2 linked regions of the Arabidopsis thaliana genome follow. The protein of the gene in region 2 interacts with the protein of the main gene of each other region in a pairwise test. Each region holds a gene or a part of one and is shown on either strand. Other genes may lie near its edges.

The links.
Region 1: the proteins of AT2G29210 (region 2) and SR30 interact in a two-hybrid assay, tested with the Arabidopsis thaliana proteins (one large-scale study listed by BioGRID).

Annotation. Positions count from the first base shown.
Region 1 is NC_003070.9:2,942,038-2,950,499, forward strand, and holds SR30 (SERINE-ARGININE PROTEIN 30), read right to left. Parts: upstream 3,940-8,462; 5' UTR 3,782-3,939; coding exon 3,695-3,781; intron 3,572-3,694; coding exon 3,506-3,571; intron 3,420-3,505; coding exon 3,345-3,419; intron 3,266-3,344; coding exon 3,163-3,265; intron 3,078-3,162; coding exon 3,031-3,077; intron 2,924-3,030; coding exon 2,866-2,923; intron 2,743-2,865; coding exon 2,693-2,742; intron 2,550-2,692; coding exon 2,493-2,549; intron 2,420-2,492; coding exon 2,307-2,419; intron 2,210-2,306; coding exon 2,132-2,209; coding exon of another isoform or gene 2,119-2,131; exon of another isoform or gene 1,528-2,118; coding exon of another isoform or gene 1,491-1,527; exon of another isoform or gene 1,190-1,490; coding exon 1,132-1,189; intron 865-1,131; coding exon 850-864; 3' UTR 501-849; downstream 1-500. Other genes in the region: AT1G09130 (ATP-dependent caseinolytic (Clp) protease/crotonase family protein), read right to left, coding at 1-180; AT1G09150 (pseudouridine synthase and archaeosine transglycosylase (PUA) domain-containing protein), read left to right, coding at 4,562-4,572, 5,173-5,254, 5,351-5,418, 5,520-5,617, 6,137-6,273, 6,356-6,423, 6,673-6,736, 6,854-6,871; PP2-B15 (phloem protein 2-B15), read right to left, coding at 7,794-8,295, 8,370-8,462. UniProt on the Arabidopsis thaliana protein: Regulatory splicing factor that modulates alternative splicing and gene expression in specific cell types. Autoregulates its own expression. Probably involved in intron recognition and spliceosome assembly.
Region 2 is NC_003071.7:12,555,408-12,564,614, forward strand, and holds AT2G29210 (splicing factor PWI domain-containing protein), read left to right. Parts: upstream 1-2,571; 5' UTR 2,572-2,748; coding exon 2,749-2,769; intron 2,770-2,888; coding exon 2,889-2,978; intron 2,979-3,140; coding exon 3,141-3,263; intron 3,264-3,417; coding exon 3,418-3,585; intron 3,586-3,673; coding exon 3,674-3,748; intron 3,749-3,884; coding exon 3,885-3,997; intron 3,998-4,316; coding exon 4,317-4,364; intron 4,365-4,442; coding exon 4,443-4,499; intron 4,500-4,635; coding exon 4,636-5,898; intron 5,899-5,989; coding exon 5,990-6,112; intron 6,113-6,205; coding exon 6,206-6,761; 3' UTR 6,762-6,960; downstream 6,961-9,207. Other genes in the region: AT2G29220 (Concanavalin A-like lectin protein kinase family protein), read right to left, coding at 7,374-9,207.

The sequences.
Region 1 (8,462 bases), on a different chromosome or scaffold from region 2:
AGGATCCTTTGGATTTATCGGAGGCATAGGGATTTTGGCAGAGGCTTTGGCGCGAAAGGCGTAACGAAAAGTCTTCAAGTTTCTTCTCCCGGATGAATTCGAAGATAGAGGAGGATGAGGAGAAAAAGAAGAAGAGCGTGGAAGCAGAGAATTCATGGATGCTTGTAAACAAGACGCCATGGTCGAGGAGCTCTTGGACACGGAAGCTCGCGAAAATGGACTCGTTGGACAAAGGAAACCAGAGGATTTATCGATGCTTTCGGAGGGGAGAGAATAATTACTGGGTCGGGTTTCGGGTTGACCCGCTATTTGATATTCCGGCTATAGCCCAAATCACATTTTAGGGAACAGGCCCAGTCGCAATAGACTTTACTTTCGGACCAAATTGCAATTATTCTGGGCCATTTCGTTTACACAAAACTCTGGTGCTATGGCCTATGAGCTGTAGTGTGTTGTTACTGTTGGTAGGATACAGGCAGGGGTTGTACCGTTTTAGAGTGATCTTATCCAAAAACAAAAGCAAGTTTAGTTTTAACACTGCAAGTTTAGTTTAAGATAATCATAAAAGACACCAGTAGTTGTAATGTAAATGTATATGTATGGAAAAACCTCACCACACCCAACACAATGTCTGATGAACTTTATTATGCAGCCGAGACAGAGTTTCCGGCTTTTTAATGACACAATAACAGACCAATTCCAGGTTCACAACTAAAACTAGAAAGACATATTGGTCGTCCCATACAAGAAGACCAGTATAATAATCCCAAATCGGAATCAAATTCTATTAGCAGTGGAGCCTGAGAAGCTTGAGACGATTCGGGTACAGCCAGTGGCCAGTTTTCATTTTCAACCAGATATCACCTGCAAAACATAATATGTAATACCGTTAAGAGAAGAAGAAATGATAACACATGACAGAGGTAGATTATGTTGCTGAAACACTTGGAGAGGCGATTTTTAGTGCACACAGAGGTTGGTGAGACCTAGTCGTTCTAAGACTCTTCAAATTTTATAGTCTGTCTCATGATTTCGTTAAGTTGGTGTTGATTGAAGAACAACCAAAGTGAGCAGGTATTTAAACAAACACCATGGATTGTGAATTAAAGAAGGTTCAGCTTTTAGACTTACAGGTGAAACTGGAGAATTCGATCTTGATCTTGATCTTGATTTTGATCTTGATTGGGACCTGCAGCAAGACCAAAAACCCCATGTAAGTGTGGCATAACAAAGAAATTTACTGACCATCTCCCATCTAGTCCCGGGAGCTTAAATGCTGTCCTAGAAAAGAACTCAACACAGAATCCACTATTGTCAAAAAGATAAATATATTGAGGAATCAGAGTAATCATAGTCCAAAACTTTGCGATCAGATCCTACAGCTGATACGCGCGGAGTACCAGACCAGACCAGACCGTAAAAACAGAAGTTCAAGTTCATGCTAATCCAGCTTTGTAAATCCAGTCCAAGAATCCATCTAGATGACCCATCTAGATCCAATCCCCAGCTCGTAGCAGTGAGCCAGATCTAGAAAACAAACAACGCAATACAATTGTAATCACGGTAAATGATCGAGGACATGCCTCAGAAATCCATCTTCCCCCTTCCGATAGAAATAAATTTTCAAAAAGTGAAACATCTAGCTAAGTGTTCTTTAAATTATAAGTCGGATAATGAAGATTGATACGTAATAAATTCACCGTCGCTGGAAAAAAGTTAAGAAGTAAAGCTTTATCAGAAGGAAACATCCAGAAGAGAACGACACAAAGAGAAAGGAAAAGGACTAAATATGATGGGAGCATCTCTGTCAAGAACTCAAAACATAAAAAACAAACACATTCACGTGTAAGAAATGAAAAGGAACTCTGGTAATCCCAAACAAGGAGGTAACCTTTACCCATATTGGAGTTTGCATGACATAGAAAACATCAACAAAGGAAGAAAATCAAGTGACAATAGACTAGTCCACTATGAGGGAAAAAAGACTCAAACAAATTCAACTGTGTACGGAAGCAACAAAAGGTGCTTAGTTGTAAGTAATAAAGCTAGTAAGGAGTTCACTATGCAAGAACAAGTGATCCATGAAGGGGTAACTACATATATAATAATGATACAAATCTAACACTCATACCTTGAGACAGAGCTGTATAGCGAGCGAGAACGACTAAGGGGCCGTGAACGCGGGGAAATGGATCTAGCAGGTGACACACTGCATTGCATTTAGAAGTCAGTTAATTTCATAAATAAGTTACAATAAAAATCCCTTATATGTCTTAGGTTTATGAAAAAAAAAAAAAAAAAAAGACCTCCTGCTCTTGCTACTATAGCTACAGCTTGGACCACGGCTCCGACTCCTGCTTCTATAGCTTTTAGAATCATCTGGGCTTCGACTCACACTCCTCGACTCATATTCCCTCACCTGAACAGTAAATTCAGAGATGACTCCATATCCACTTATGCTTAACAAAATCAAAGAAAGCAATACAACATACCCGTATATAAGCACTAGAGAAAGCATTTCGAAATTCAGTGGCATCAAGTTTCCTTATCTGTCACATCAAAAATTTTAAGGGAACATCAAAGATCCAACACTGGCCTCCAGGAAGATAAATTCAGCTCGGTATACTATGAAACAAAAGCAGTCTAAGGCATAAGTCCAGGAACATTTGCGTTGCAAAGATATAAAACTTACTGCGTACTTCATATCATCATAGTTGCTATAATCCACAACCCCAGACATGCCTACAAAGAAATACTGAATGTGAGTTTAGCAGTTCAGATGCTTAACACCTATTCTCCTTCACAAAGACTAATTTACTAACACATCAATCAAAAGCTTATCCAAACTATCGAATGTCAACTCACCTTTACGGTCAGGGAAAACTTCAGAGAAGCAGACATCTCCAGCTTTGCGCATGTGATCCTAATCACCCGTAAATAGCAAATAACATCATTTCAGAAAAGAGATAAATCCAAAACATGATATAGAGAACCAACATTCAGAGAAAAAGACTATATAGTGTCCCTTACCTTAAGGTCCTGCCACGAAGCAGAAGGCGGTAATCCGGTCACAAGCACTACATGTTTAGGTAGTAAAAATGAGTTTTCAAATATAAAATTTTACACAACACCAAATAACACAATCGAGAAGACTCTACAAACCGCGGTAGTCAGAGCGTCTTGAAGGTGCACGGCTCGCACTGTAGCTGCTGCTGTACCTATCAACTGATGGTGAAAATCTACGACCACCATGTGCAATCTCAACCTAAAAACATCACACAAAGATAACACCTTTACAAGAAATTACAGAAAATTAAGCTAGCTTTCATCATGCGTTTACTAACCCGAAGTCGACACCCATCAAAATCATAACCATCACGTCCATAAATTGCATCGTCTGCATCACGAGGATCTTCAAACTGCCACCAATAACAAACTATCTTAGTCATTAGCCTATACTATTACAAGAAGAAGAAAAAAACAAATTTGTACTTGATCAATATACCTCGACAAAGGCATAACCAGGAGGTCTCGGTGGAATCTTCAAATCAATGTCCACAATTGGTCCATACTGAAACAAATATACATAAGAGTCGATTTAAATTGTCTCAGCAAGACAGAATTGCAAATTTATGAACCCAAACAAGTCATAATGAATTCAATTTTTATCGAGAGAAAAGAGGAATTTTCAAACCTTGTAGAAGAGATCTTCAACCTCACACTTGCGAATATCTCCAGGCAAATTCCCAACGTAGATCGTACGATTCCATCGGCTACTCATCTGATACCTCAGAGCAGAAAATTAGTTCCTGTAAAAATCTAGAAGAGAAGAAATTGATTACTGGAAAAATAATTTCGAGAAAGAAGAAGAAGAAGATGTTCGAGAAAGCGTTAGATTGTTCTGGAAAGGAGACAACCACCGTTCGTTTGGAAACTAGTATCCTTTTATAAAACGGAACTGGATTTTAATCCTGTGCGGCCGCATGTATCAACGATGAATAGCCCAGTTGATCAAGATCGGCCCATATGTTTTAATGGGCCTGTTAATATATTGTTCTAACCGGATCGAATGTGTTTTTTCTTATCATTCAAACCGGAATATTGTATGTTAGTTATTACAATTCGAACCAATTTCGAATCGGATTCGGACCATCGGGTCATTCATTCTCCTAGGTTTCCTAAACACTGTCGTTTTTGGACAAAAGAGACACTAGATCGGAAACACTTGGGGATTTTTTTGAGAGAAACATTCTCTCGGTTCCTCTACTACCACCTCTCAAATCTCAATTCGCCGATTAGTAACTCCGTCCAAGACCATTTTCCGCCGTGACACCGTCCACGGTCTCTCTCAGTCCGTGAGTTCCTGCTCTGTTCCGTTTGGTTTTTCTGTTTTGGAATTTCAGTATTTTTCCTATTGAATTTGTTGCGATATGATGTCCAAATTTTTGGTTTGTTGAGTGATGTTCCGATATTTCCGTTATCAATCATCTTCCACTGTTCGCTTGCAGGGAAGAAGATACCATAGTTAGAAGCTGGTGATCATTTTCAATAAACCTCGAACATGTTTAAGAAGTAAGCATCTTTGTCTCTTTCTAGATTCTTTCTCTACTTTTTTATTTAGATAGAAACTGTTTTTCATACCCGGATTGTAGAATCTAAGAATTAGTGGTTTCAACATCTCGGCATTGTTTATACTAGTTGATAAAGAATGTGATGGTCTCTTTATTTAGTATCCACTTACTCTAATAACTATCGAGAACTCACTCCCTTCTACTTGTTGTCGACCACATTGTTAATTTGATTGCTTAGAGTAGCCTTGGTATGGGCATATTGGTTGTTATATTTTCTTCAAAGTAGAAGGTTTTGAGTTCTCAAAAGCTAACATCTTGCTATTGTAAAGTTTTGGTTTCTATATTGATAGTGTCACTATTTGATTTATCAAATCTGTACAAAGAGTCGTGGGTCATAGAGGAAAGTTTGTGTCTTGATTTGACCAGTCTAAACTCTCTACTATCATGGAGTTTGTGTTTATCCATCTCCTGAAACATGCTTATACATTCATAGTGAATCTTGTATAAAGTTTATTTTTCCCTACTGCTATCAACTTTAGATCTATTTGATATACCATTATGTCTATGAAGGTGTTATTTATGTTCACTACTTTTTATTTAGGTTTTGTTTGGAGGAGATTTCATCACAAAACCAAGTGAAGGCATCTGTTCAACGTAGGATCCGCCAGAGTATCCAAGATGAGGTATGTCTGTTGTTTCATTTGTCTTTTTCCCCTTCTTAAACTTTTATGATTTCGTGAAGTTTGTCAGATATAAATATGTTTATGTTAATGTTGCAGTACCCGGGACTTGAATCAGTGATGGAGGATCTACTTCCCAAAAAGATTCCTCTTATCGTAGTGAAGTGGTCTGTAAATTAACAAACTCATATTCATTGTTTTGTTTTCTGAATTTTCTTTTACCCACTATCTATGTCTTACAGTATTCCTGACTATATTTCTCGTGCAGCCCAAACCATCTGACCCTAGTTGTTGTCAACAATGTCCCCCTCTTCTTCTGTATCCGTGACGGGCCATACATGCCAACACTGCGGCTTCTTCATCAATGTAATATCACTTTTCCTTCACACCATCCATGCTATATGGTCTTGTTATCAAAACATAACATATCTGGGTGTTTTATTCATACAATCACTCTTCTTCACACCTGTTAGTCTTACTGTGGTCTGCAGTAGAACTTACCTGGTTCAAATACTGCATATACCTGAATAGTATGTCCGACACTTTTCTCTGAGTTATTTAGAACTTCCTGGGGTTTGGTTCCTGTAAGTTGTTGTTCCTTTGGCTTTTTTCATGCGAGTGAACTATATAAAAGGTCCACGTATGATTGGTTAGCCAGGATTTTTGTTTAGTATATTTTGTTTTATGTTTTCCGGGTTAGCTGACCCTTATCATAGTGAGAAGGTTTTGGCATTGGCTGTTACCAGAAGAGTATAAAATATTCTTGAAAACACCACGTTCAGCTAACTTTTACATACTTGAATGATACATAGAAAGAAACTTGGAGTTTTTTCAATTAGCCACGAATGTCAAAAATTTGGCAGCTGAATGTTTGGAGTTTTGCAGACCCAAATATAATGAAGAGGTTTCAAGTTGATAGAGGTGCCATAAAGTTTGTTCTGTCTGGTGCAAACATAATGTGTCCTGGTCTTACATCCCCGGGAGGCGTTCTGGATCAAGAAGTCGAGGCTGAAAGGCCAGTGGTATGAATAAAAACAGTATTTCCCTGGGTTGCATTTTTGTTTGTATATGCTGATCTTAAACCATGAATCTGTATTTGTTTAGGCCATATATGCAGAAGGAAAGCAACATGCCTTAGCAATAGGCTTCACCAAAATGTCAGCAAAGGACATGTAAGTCAATTTTTCGCTGGAATTTATTTGAAAATACAAACATGTGCTTTGATATACTTTCGTATCTTAGCCAAAATACAGTCTCTTGGCTCCAGGCCTCTCCAAGTAACCCTATCTTTGTCACTTTATTGATATTCCTTCTTCCCTTAGATACACATACCTGCACCAGGATCAATTTTGGCCGTGTTTCCCCTGTTTGCTCATAAAATTTCTTTCGCATCGCTAAACTTTTCTTGTGTATGTTCACAGAAAGAGCATTAACAAAGGAATAGGAGTTGACAACATGCATTACCTCAACGACGGTCTCTGGAAGGTACCAATACTTGTCTCTGGTTTCTCTATTCGTAGTATTGCCAAGCAGTCTCATTGTTGATATAAAAATCGATTTTGGAAGAACACAAATCAAAAGTTTCTGAAATTTGTATTGCAGATGGAACGACTAGACTGAGGACAATGTCAAATGTGAATCAGTGTCGGAGAGATATATTGGTCTCCTTTTATGTTCTCTCTAAACTTATGGAGCTTTTGTCCGGATCAACCTTAGCTTTGGTTTGATTTGTTTTCAAACATTTGATACTTATTTTATGAGGGAACGTCAACCTTAGCTAAGGTTACAGTTTCTAATTCCGTATAATCAAACAAGTAAGATTAAAAAGCTGTTCAAATTTATTTCGGTCAGAATATATTTAAAGTCATCCTAATTGAACTTAACAAATTGCTATAAGCCTATAAAGTATAAACGATTAGGCAGAATGTGCCCACTGTTTATCTACTAATTAGGTATTAAAGCTATAATAGTACTACATACACGTGCTTGCACGATATGACGACGTTGTATCAACCAAAAATTTGTATAAGCCACCTAACATGAGATTAGGTAACACTAGAAATTCGATATGAGCTAAGAATGTCCTCATGTGCCAAATGAAATGACGACATTAAGACACGTCTATTTCGCTGTTGTCCTATTCAATATTAACTTTTACTTTGGTAAAGCGTGGATATCTCCCTTTGTATACTATTTTTGCAAAATGTCGTTAAAACAGAATTATTCGTATTTGTATAGCTTATGGTGATTTTAGGTACTTCTATTATGGATAATATTACTTAAACGCTTTCATTTTTAATACAATTGAATTGACAGAGATGTTTGAACAAAATGATACCTAACGGATATTAATCAATTTTCAGAATGTTATCAAATAAATGTCAAACAAAAGAAACTACTATCTACTCTAATGTATTATAAATTAATAATGTATAACTCGATTAGAGTTATTACCAACCCACCAAAACAGTTTTCTCATCTTACATTTTTTTACCCAAACCAAACACATTATCCGGTAAACACAAAATTTGGCACTCATCTTTTAGTTGGTCCCGGCCCTCACTTTTAGGGGTTTAGGCCTTACTTCAATCCCATCAATGGCAATTCCACCCTTCAATTGATAACCTTTAACTTCAGTCAGACTCATAACAACCTCCTTGTCGTCATCACCTTCTCCTGATCCTGTCTCGAACTCTCCCAGCTCTATCTCCATCCACCCATCGTCTCTCACCTCTGGCTCCCTCCGATGACTTCGGACAACCTCATGCGTCGCCATCCTCTGTTCTCTTTGTCCGTAAAACACACGTTCCATTTGTTGTTTCTTGTTATCCAAGCAACTTAGATAAGTTGACTTTATTTTCTTTTCACCATTTCCCACTTTTATCGATGTCTCTGCCGGAACTAGGTCTAGTCCATAGGCACGTGACGTTACTTTCATAATCAGATAAGCTCCGTAGTTTGTGTTCGGCGATAAAGCTCCGGTTTGGATTTTTCCGATGATTTCTAACCAATCTGTCATTATAAGTTGGACTCCTTCGGAAAACCTATAATCAAAATATTGAAACAAAAATTATTGCTTACACTGTTACACCAATGATATGATTAAATTAATAACGACCTTGAATCTGATCGTGGGCTCCAAGACCAGTAATGTCTTTGATCGCTCCAAGTTATGGAAAGATCTCTTGACGACAAAATATACGATATTTTC
Region 2 (9,207 bases):
TTTATTGTAAAGATGATTATAAATATATGATATTATTTTATTTGATTTTAAATGTATAGTAAACTGCGAGTTGTATATGTTTTGTTGATATTATTTATATTGTTTAGTGTTTAAAATTATACACTTGTATTTTGATTGTTAATTTTAGAGTTTCACATGTAGTATACCATCTTGTATTAATATCGATTTAAACCCGTCAATTCTAGGATTTTCTATCTTGTATTAAAAATTGAATCACATCATACACATAAAAAAATCTAATATGTTATTAATTATTGTAGTATATAAGATTATAAATTTTTAAAATAATATGTATGAAATTGAATATAAATATTCAAATTATGACCCAGTATTCAGTAGAAAATTTTCTTAAATCTATTTTTGACCCGTTATAATATTTTTTCATGTATTGAACAGTTTATATTAGTTTTTAAAAATTCAAATTATGGCATATGCGAAAAAACTCTAATTATTTTTTTATAACGATGATATTATTTTTTCGCCAAAATAGAATCATATAAAGATGAGAGGTGAACTATAATAATTAATAAAAAATTAATATGATAATTTAGATATCAAATCTAATTTGTTGATTTTAATTGGTTACTTTTTTGGAAATTAATAATGTATTTTGTTTTTTAATTAAATTTAATTAATTAAATTAGTATTTGACTTAATTATTAAAGAGATGAATTAATTTACTCTTTAAATTTTATTTCTAATGGCATACTTATGTAATTACTTACAAAAAATAAGGTTATATTTAAAATGTACTTCCTAAATAATATAGTAGGATTTCTTAATTAGGAAAATGACAAAAAAATATTATATTTACCTCTTAACTTTTGAGATTTTATTTAAATTTATGAAAGTTTTGCTTTTTTTTCAGCGGAGATGTTAGGCGAAACTTACATTATTTTCTTGTCAGCAAAGATTTGGTGAATTCGTTAATTCGATGATGATAACGTTAGTGACGGTTGCAAAAATGTTTCTGTTTTTACGGTTTTTTGATTCATGTAGAGGCAAAGTTTGTTTGTAATTGGAAAGAAAAAATAAATTAAATAACGAATCTTAAAAAGTCTTCCAAGTTGATTTTTTTCTTTACTGACATAAATTTTGCTTTATATATCATACAAATACGTCAAAGTCCATAATTTCGATGATGGTGATGACAAAAGAAAATATGTTATTATCTTTTGCATGACATGCCCTCATATATGAAACTGAAACACAGAGTTATGAGCTCATCTATATATACATTTTTGCTGCTACTTTGTGAAATAAATACTGGAGTTGGGATTTATTTACAACGGCTGCCACTGGCATTTAATAATTGTTTTTGATAATTAGAAAGAAAATCTTCTAATTAAATATTTGACATTTAACAATCTTCCCAAAATCTCTCAACCTTAACTACACGATTAATTACTAAAATAAAACTTCTAAAATATTTAATATCATTTAATTACTACAAAATTATCATTTTTGATATTGCTTTTCTGCATGATTATAATCATCAAACCGTAGAGATATTTGATAGCATTTAATTACTACAAAATTACAAAATATTTAGACAATAATTCATAAACATATCATAAATAAAATCAACATTAATAAAATAAATGAGTTTTTTTTAGAGGACGGGTTGGCGGGACGAGTTTGGCAGGACGTTATTTAATAACAATTGTAAACTATACAATAAAAATATTTTATAGATAGATAAAATTTACAAACTTTTATATATATTAATTAAAAAAATAAATTGTTTCCGCGGTGTACTGCGGGTTAAAATCTAGTCTAATACAATATTAGAGATAACTATAGTCATTGCTCTCATTTTTCCATTTGCATACTTATATGTTCTCAATTCTCATACCTACCTTATATTGTGTGCCCATACACCTTCCATGCGCACTTGTTGTCCACACAAATTACGATCAAACAACTGTTATATAGTTTCCACCCACACTTTCACCTATGGTTTAAGAAACATAAGTTACTCTAATGTAGTAGGACGAGTTGACCAAACCTAACTCCTTCATTTTGTTGCACCAACCCATATTTTTACCGAGTAATGCACACCCCAAAACTTATAATCATAGTCATCTTCCTTTCACGTCCCATAAGGTTCACATTGATTACTCTAATCTATTTCACTTTCAAGATTACCACCACATGTAACTTTTCCATTCCTTTTCCACATTTATCTCTTAAACCTCAAACACTTTCAAGTTTCATCTTCTCTCTCTCTTATTAACTTCATCTACCAACCCTACTTAACCTAAAACCATTTTCAATTGCTTAATCAGTCCACACAATGCACATAAATTTCCGTGACCACACTGTTCGTTTTAGAAGAAAAAAACCACTTCCAAAATTGCATATGTACCAATAAGATAAAATGTTTTACTCATTCAAATAGACCTACGAGATTAATTAAGACTAGGTTTGCTTTGGGCTAAAACTGGCCCATAAGCTATGGCAATTGAAACCAATCAGATTACAAAAAAGGCTTGTCAAGAAGATGAGACCGAACATGTTCCAATAAATGGCAATAACGTAATTCTCAAAACCTCTGAGGGTAACAATGGAAAAACAAAATGAAGTGAGTCCGATATAGCTAGGGCTCGTTAAAAACTCTTCAAAATCTCTGTGGAAGCCCCATTTTCACATCTAAATCTCACAAATCTCTCTCAAGCTTCGATCTTTCTTCTAGAGACGAGCTAGTGCTTCCACAAACCCTAAACTATGTCCGGCGGTTTCTTCCGGGTTAGTTTTCCGATCAATTTTCTCAATTGATCTCTCATCTTTTAGATCCAGATCGATGCAATTCAAAAGTTTTGTTGAAGTTCCCATGGTTTAATAACTTCTTTGTTTTGAGCTTTTAGGGTACTTCCGCCGAGCAGGATACTCGGTTTTCTAACAAGCAAGCTAAATTGATGAAAAGCCAGAAATTTGCTCCGGAGTTAGAGAATCTGGTGAGTTTTCTCTTTGTGTACTCGTCCATTTTAACGATTTGTGAATTCGTAGCTTGAATTTACTTAATTGAGATTCGATTACCAGATAATTCGATACATATGTTACTATGAAATTAAGTTTGGGGAGGGCTTAATGATGTCTTCTACTTGCCTTGGTGTTAGGTGGATATCACTAAAGTGAAGATGGATGTTATGAAACCTTGGATTGCGACTAGAGTCACTGAGCTTCTTGGTATTGAAGATGAAGTGCTGATTAACTTTATCTATGGTCTGCTTGACGGGAAGGTAAGCTCATTACTGAGATTTTATTTTTCTGAGCTTTTTATTCGACTGTTAATAAGTGACAGAGGGGTAGTATGATTTCGTAGCCCATGCCATTGATACAAGTGATTTTTTTTTGTTGGACTAATATGTAATTGAACGTTCACTATGTATGTAGGTAGTGAATGGTAAGGAGATTCAGATAACGCTAACTGGATTCATGGAGAAAAATACTGGCAAATTTATGAAAGAACTTTGGACACTTCTTCTAAGCGCACAGAATAATCCAAGTGGTGTTCCACAGCAGTTTTTAGATGCTAGAGCTGCTGAAACAAAGAAGAAACAGGTATTCTTGGGAACTCATTCTGAAGTTAGTTTGGTGAACGACTTGTCTCTGTCCTACTGTTTCATGATTATTATCCTTTATGTGGCAGGAAGAAGCAAATGAAATAATGAAGAAGAGGGAGGGAGATAAGAAGAACATTGAGCACGATATATTGAGGAAAATAGTAAGACGTTCTTATTCATGCTAGAGTTTCAGCTTTAGAGATGCTCTTCTGGTTTTAACATTCGCCTGTTCTTTCATGTTATTCAGATAGCTTCTGCAATTATTAGGGTTCATGTGCTTTACCTCAACTACTGTAGGACAGCGGTGTAGAACATAAGGAGACAAATGGCATGGATGCAAAACCTTCAAGAGATCGTCCAGAGGATGGGAGAAGGGCTGACGAGAAGAATGGTGTAAAAGAAAGGAGAAGGTAGAGTTCTCTTAATGCCTATGATTTCATAGCTACTCTCTACTCATCGCTGTATTCCCTTGTGTACTTTATTATTGATTGAGTTCATCCTTCTAGTCTACTCATAACTTTGTACGTTGATTTTCTCTATAAGAACTCGTGGGCATGAGTTGTTCAAGTATTTCTATAAATGACTGTTCTGGGTCTTCTAGTCTTTTAGCATTTTTAGGTATGCTACTGGTACTTTGCATGTGCATTTGGTTTGCTGGTGGTCCAGGAATTTGTTTGTGGCCAAGATTATTATGTAAGTGGGTTCTGACATTGCCTCCACTTGATGCAGGGATCTGATACCTCCACGTCGCGGAGATGCATCCCGCTCACCCCTTAGGTGACTCTTCAATAGTTTTGTTTTTTCTAATACAATTTGCTTATATGTGCAAGTATATATTGATTGGTTGCTTTACAGAGGGTCACGTTCTAGGTCAATCAGCAAAACAAATTCAGGCTCGAAAAGTTATTCTGGGTATGTAGCCTTCTGCAATTGTTTTTCTTAATCCAAAGAAATTGTAGCCTGTGATGTGTAGCTAGCTAGTTCTGTATCTATTATTTTCTGTAAATCCTAGTGCAGTTTTTGCTAATGCTGTCTACTTTTATAACAGCGAACGGAAATCCAGGAGCACATCTCAATCATCAGATGCCTCCATCTCACCTAGAAAGCGAAGATTGTCGAATTCAAGACGTAGATCCAGATCACGTTCCGTGCGTAGGTCTCTGTCTCCTCGGCGACGTAGGATACACTCTCCTTTCAGAAGCAGGTCGCGGTCACCTATTAGACGTCACAGGCGACCTACGCATGAGGGACGCCGTCAATCACCAGCCCCTTCAAGACGTCGCCGTTCTCCATCCCCACCTGCTAGACGGCGCAGGTCACCATCCCCACCTGCTAGACGGCGCAGGTCACCATCACCACCTGCTAGACGGCACAGGTCTCCAACACCACCTGCAAGGCAGCGCAGGTCACCATCGCCCCCTGCTAGGCGTCACCGTTCTCCACCGCCAGCTAGGCGGCGTAGGTCTCCTTCACCGCCAGCTAGGCGGCGTAGGTCTCCTTCACCGCCAGCTAGGCGGCGTAGGTCTCCATCTCCACTCTACAGGCGTAACAGGTCTCCATCTCCACTCTATAGGCGTAACAGGTCACGGTCACCGCTGGCTAAGCGGGGAAGGTCTGACTCACCAGGGAGGTCTCCGTCACCAGTGGCTAGGCTCAGGGATCCCACTGGGGCAAGATTGCCTTCACCATCCATTGAGCAAAGATTGCCTTCACCACCCGTTGCACAAAGGTTGCCTTCACCACCCCCTAGGCGTGCAGGATTACCTTCACCACCCCCTGCGCAAAGGTTGCCTTCACCACCCCCTAGGCGTGCAGGATTACCTTCACCAATGAGGATTGGAGGATCTCATGCAGCCAATCACCTGGAATCACCATCACCCAGCTCATTGTCCCCTCCTGGTAGGAAAAAAGTGTTACCATCTCCACCTGTTAGAAGACGCAGGTCACTGACACCTGACGAAGAGCGAGTCTCCCTGTCACAAGGTGGACGCCATACTTCCCCTTCACATATCAAGCAAGATGGATCTATGTCACCTGTTAGGGGTCGAGGTAAATCTTCTCCTTCATCTCGACATCAGAAAGCGCGCTCTCCTGTTCGGCGCAGATCACCAACACCTGTCAACCGGCGAAGTCGAAGATCTTCATCTGCTTCACGATCACCTGATAGACGCAGGAGACGGTCTCCATCTTCGAGCAGATCTCCTTCTAGGTCGCGATCACCTCCTGTTCTTCATAGATCTCCTTCTCCACGTGGAAGAAAACATCAGAGAGAGAGAAGATCTCCTGGGCGTCTATCTGAAGAACAAGATAGGTATGGTCTTCATGACTCCATTTACTATAATCTTCTTCTTATCTGTACTTGTTAACTCCTTGACCCTCTGTCTGCTTTCGCATTGTGACAGGGTTCAAAATTCCAAGCTGTTAAAGAGAACTTCAGTGCCTGATACTGACAAGAGGAAACAATTACCAGAGAAGTTGCTAGAAGTTGGGCGTGTAGAACATTATAAGGAGCAGGAGAGAAAGAGGTGCATTTTGTTTCTTTTCATTTTCCAAATGATTTTCGTTTGACTTCAAATATCAAGGTCTGATAAATGTTGGTCTATTCAACTTCTTAACAGTGATAAGTTGTCAGAGAAGCGATCTGTTCACAGACACCATGGTTCACAGATGTCCCCAGTAGAAAATTCAGAAGGAAGGAGTCGGCCTGTTTCTAGTAAAGTGAAAGACAGTGAGCAGGTTGAGAAAGAGGATAACAGCGACCTGGATGCAAACCTTTCCTGTGATTCTAAGGATACCATCAGACATCAAATTAAGGATAAAAATAGAAGAAAGAATAAAAGGTCTTCAAGGGAAGAAGTATCTTCAGATGATAATGGCAGTTCTGATTCCGACGTAGATGATAGGAAGGAGGCTAAAAGGAGGAGGAAGGAGGAGAAGAAAACGAGAAAGGAGGAGAAGAAACGTAGGCGAGAGGAGAGACATCGTAAAAGGGAAGAACGTCGTGGTGGAAAGGAGAAGCATAAGAAACAAGAGCTTTCTGATACTTCAGAAGGTGAAGTTGAGGCCCGTCCTAAGATTAAAAAAGGGGAGGAATCTGATCCAAAGAGGCTTGAAATTGAGTTGCGAAACAAAGCACTCGAGTCATTGAAAGCAAAGAAGGGCATTAGCCACTAAGTCCCTTGTCCAGCGTTATTTGAACATCATCTTTTATGATACTATCCCTTGCTAGATTTATGAACATCATCTTATGTTGTGTTTTTTCTTACATGTTCCAAACTTTCTTATGTGGTCTGTTTGTTGGTGGCAGCAAAATTGGACAAGTGACAATTATGATAGCAAAATTGGACAAGTGACAATTATGATAGCAAAATTGTTTCTTGCATTGGGTGGTCCCTTTATGTTAACATAAGCTTTAAAAAACCATTTAGGTTAATATAAGCTAACAAAAAAAACCCAAGAGATGTTTTCATGGAAAATATTCCTGTATATGATGAAGTCATGATATAAGTTTCGTAGCTATGTATCCTAAACTGACATAACAAAATATCATTTAGATTTTAAATAGATCAAAGATATATTTTGTAATGATCATTTTCCCAGAAGAGTAGGATCAGATTGTCCTAACAACAAGAAAATATTTCTCAAAACCAGAAATTCTTATTTTCAAATTTACAAATGGAGTAAAATACAATTATAGGCTTTATTCACATCATCATGCTTAATGCATCTTCGTCCAATCTTGAAATCACACAATTCAAAATACAGACACGTTTGTGAGATCACTTTTTAGACTCCATAGAAGAGGTAGTCATCATGAGGGAGAGCTTCAGTTCCTTCGAGATACCGAAACACATTTTTCATCATTGGCCTTGATTCTGGAGATCGGTTGGCGCAGAGAAGTCCTGTTTTCAGAACCAATAATACTTCTCGAGCTACCAAATTCTCTCTATTGATTCTTGTGTCGCAGCTCATTAACAGATCACCTTTCTTGAACCCTTGAAGCACCCAGTTCACCAAACTTATCTCTTCTGGTGCTTTAGTCGGCTCTATGGCCTTCCTTCCACAAACGATCTCCATCATCAACACTCCAAACGCAAACACATCTGTGTCACGTGTTACCTTTCCCGTGTTGACTAGTTCTGGTGCAACGTGCCCTGTGGTGCTGTGTCTGCTTCCTTGTCCATAGTCGCCTAGTCGAGCGTTTAGCTCTTCGTCTAAGAGTACGTTGCTTGCTTTTACGTTTCCATGAATCAAAGGTTTTTGACCTTCACCGTGAAGGTGTTGAAGTGCTGCTGCAATCCCCTTTATTATACAGAACCGATCTGACCAGGTGAGAACTGGTCGGTCGTTGTTGAACAAGAACCGGTCTAGGCTTCCATTGGGGACATACTCGTAAACAAGATAGATATCTTTTCCTTTGCTGCAGTAACCATGTAGATTGACTAGGTTTCGTTGTTTAATCTTGGAGATCGCATCGATCTCGGCTATTAGGGTTGTCTTTTGTTGCCTTGTGGTGCAAGTAATCTTCTTTACGGCAATTATCTCTGTGGGAGCAAGCTGTCCTTTGTAGAAACTTCCAGAGTTTCTCTCTCCCAAGAGTTTAGAATTGTCGAAACCTCCCGTTGCGTTCGATATCGTCTGGTAGGAGAATTTCCTTGCACCTCCGATGAAGAATATTTTGTCTCTACGTAAGAACCAAAATCCTGAGAAGATTAGGATCATGAGTGCAACCGTTGCTGATGCAGCGACGATTATGATCAGCATCGTGTTGTTCGACTTCTTCTCGGTTGAAACCGGAGGACTTGGGGATGGAGACAATGTTGGTGGCGGATCTGGGAGAGAAGGAAGCTTCGTGATATCAAAGTCTGATTCTTTCCCTTCGATGTTGAAGCTCCAACCTAGAACAAAATGTGAGCTCGCTACAGTCCCCGTGGACGCAGAGAATCCAACGTGATGTTCTTGGGAGAAAATCCCTGAAAGATTCATTTTTCTCGAGAGAAGAGGTATACTTGGCTTCGGACGATCTAGAGGAGCCAATGTGACATTAAGCATTGTCTCAGTGGCGTTGTATTCGATCCAGACTCTTACTGGTTTCCCACTCGCCAGCCTCAAGCTTATGTTCTTGGCCTCTCGGTCATCAAAATATGCAGCCGGTGCAGACGCAATGGAGATCACTCCATTTAGGTCGATGCCTACGTGGTTATCGTCAATATCATTCAACTCAACCGCTTGCACGGTGTCAAATTCAATTGCAAGAATTCGATTCAAGGAGTTTCCATTGTTGGAGGTGTTGAAGAGGCCCAGATAATTGCTGGGAAAAGCACCACTGAAGTCCATCGAGGGTGAAATGACGAAAGCTAGGCCATGGCCTGGTGCGCCGGTTCCTTGAGTGATGGCGAAGATGAAGCTTGTGGAAAAAGAAACCGAATTTGTTGAGTTAGGGTTTGACAAGGGGATGGGAAAGCCATGAAAAGCTTGACCTATCTGCCTCATCGAAGTGTTTGTCAACTCCAAGAGGCCACTTGGGTAGACCTTGGAGGAGCCGAAGTTGAGGAGATTAGCCCCGAGGAAGCCATGGTTAAGAAACTTGGTCTCTCGTTGACTTGAGACACAAGAAACA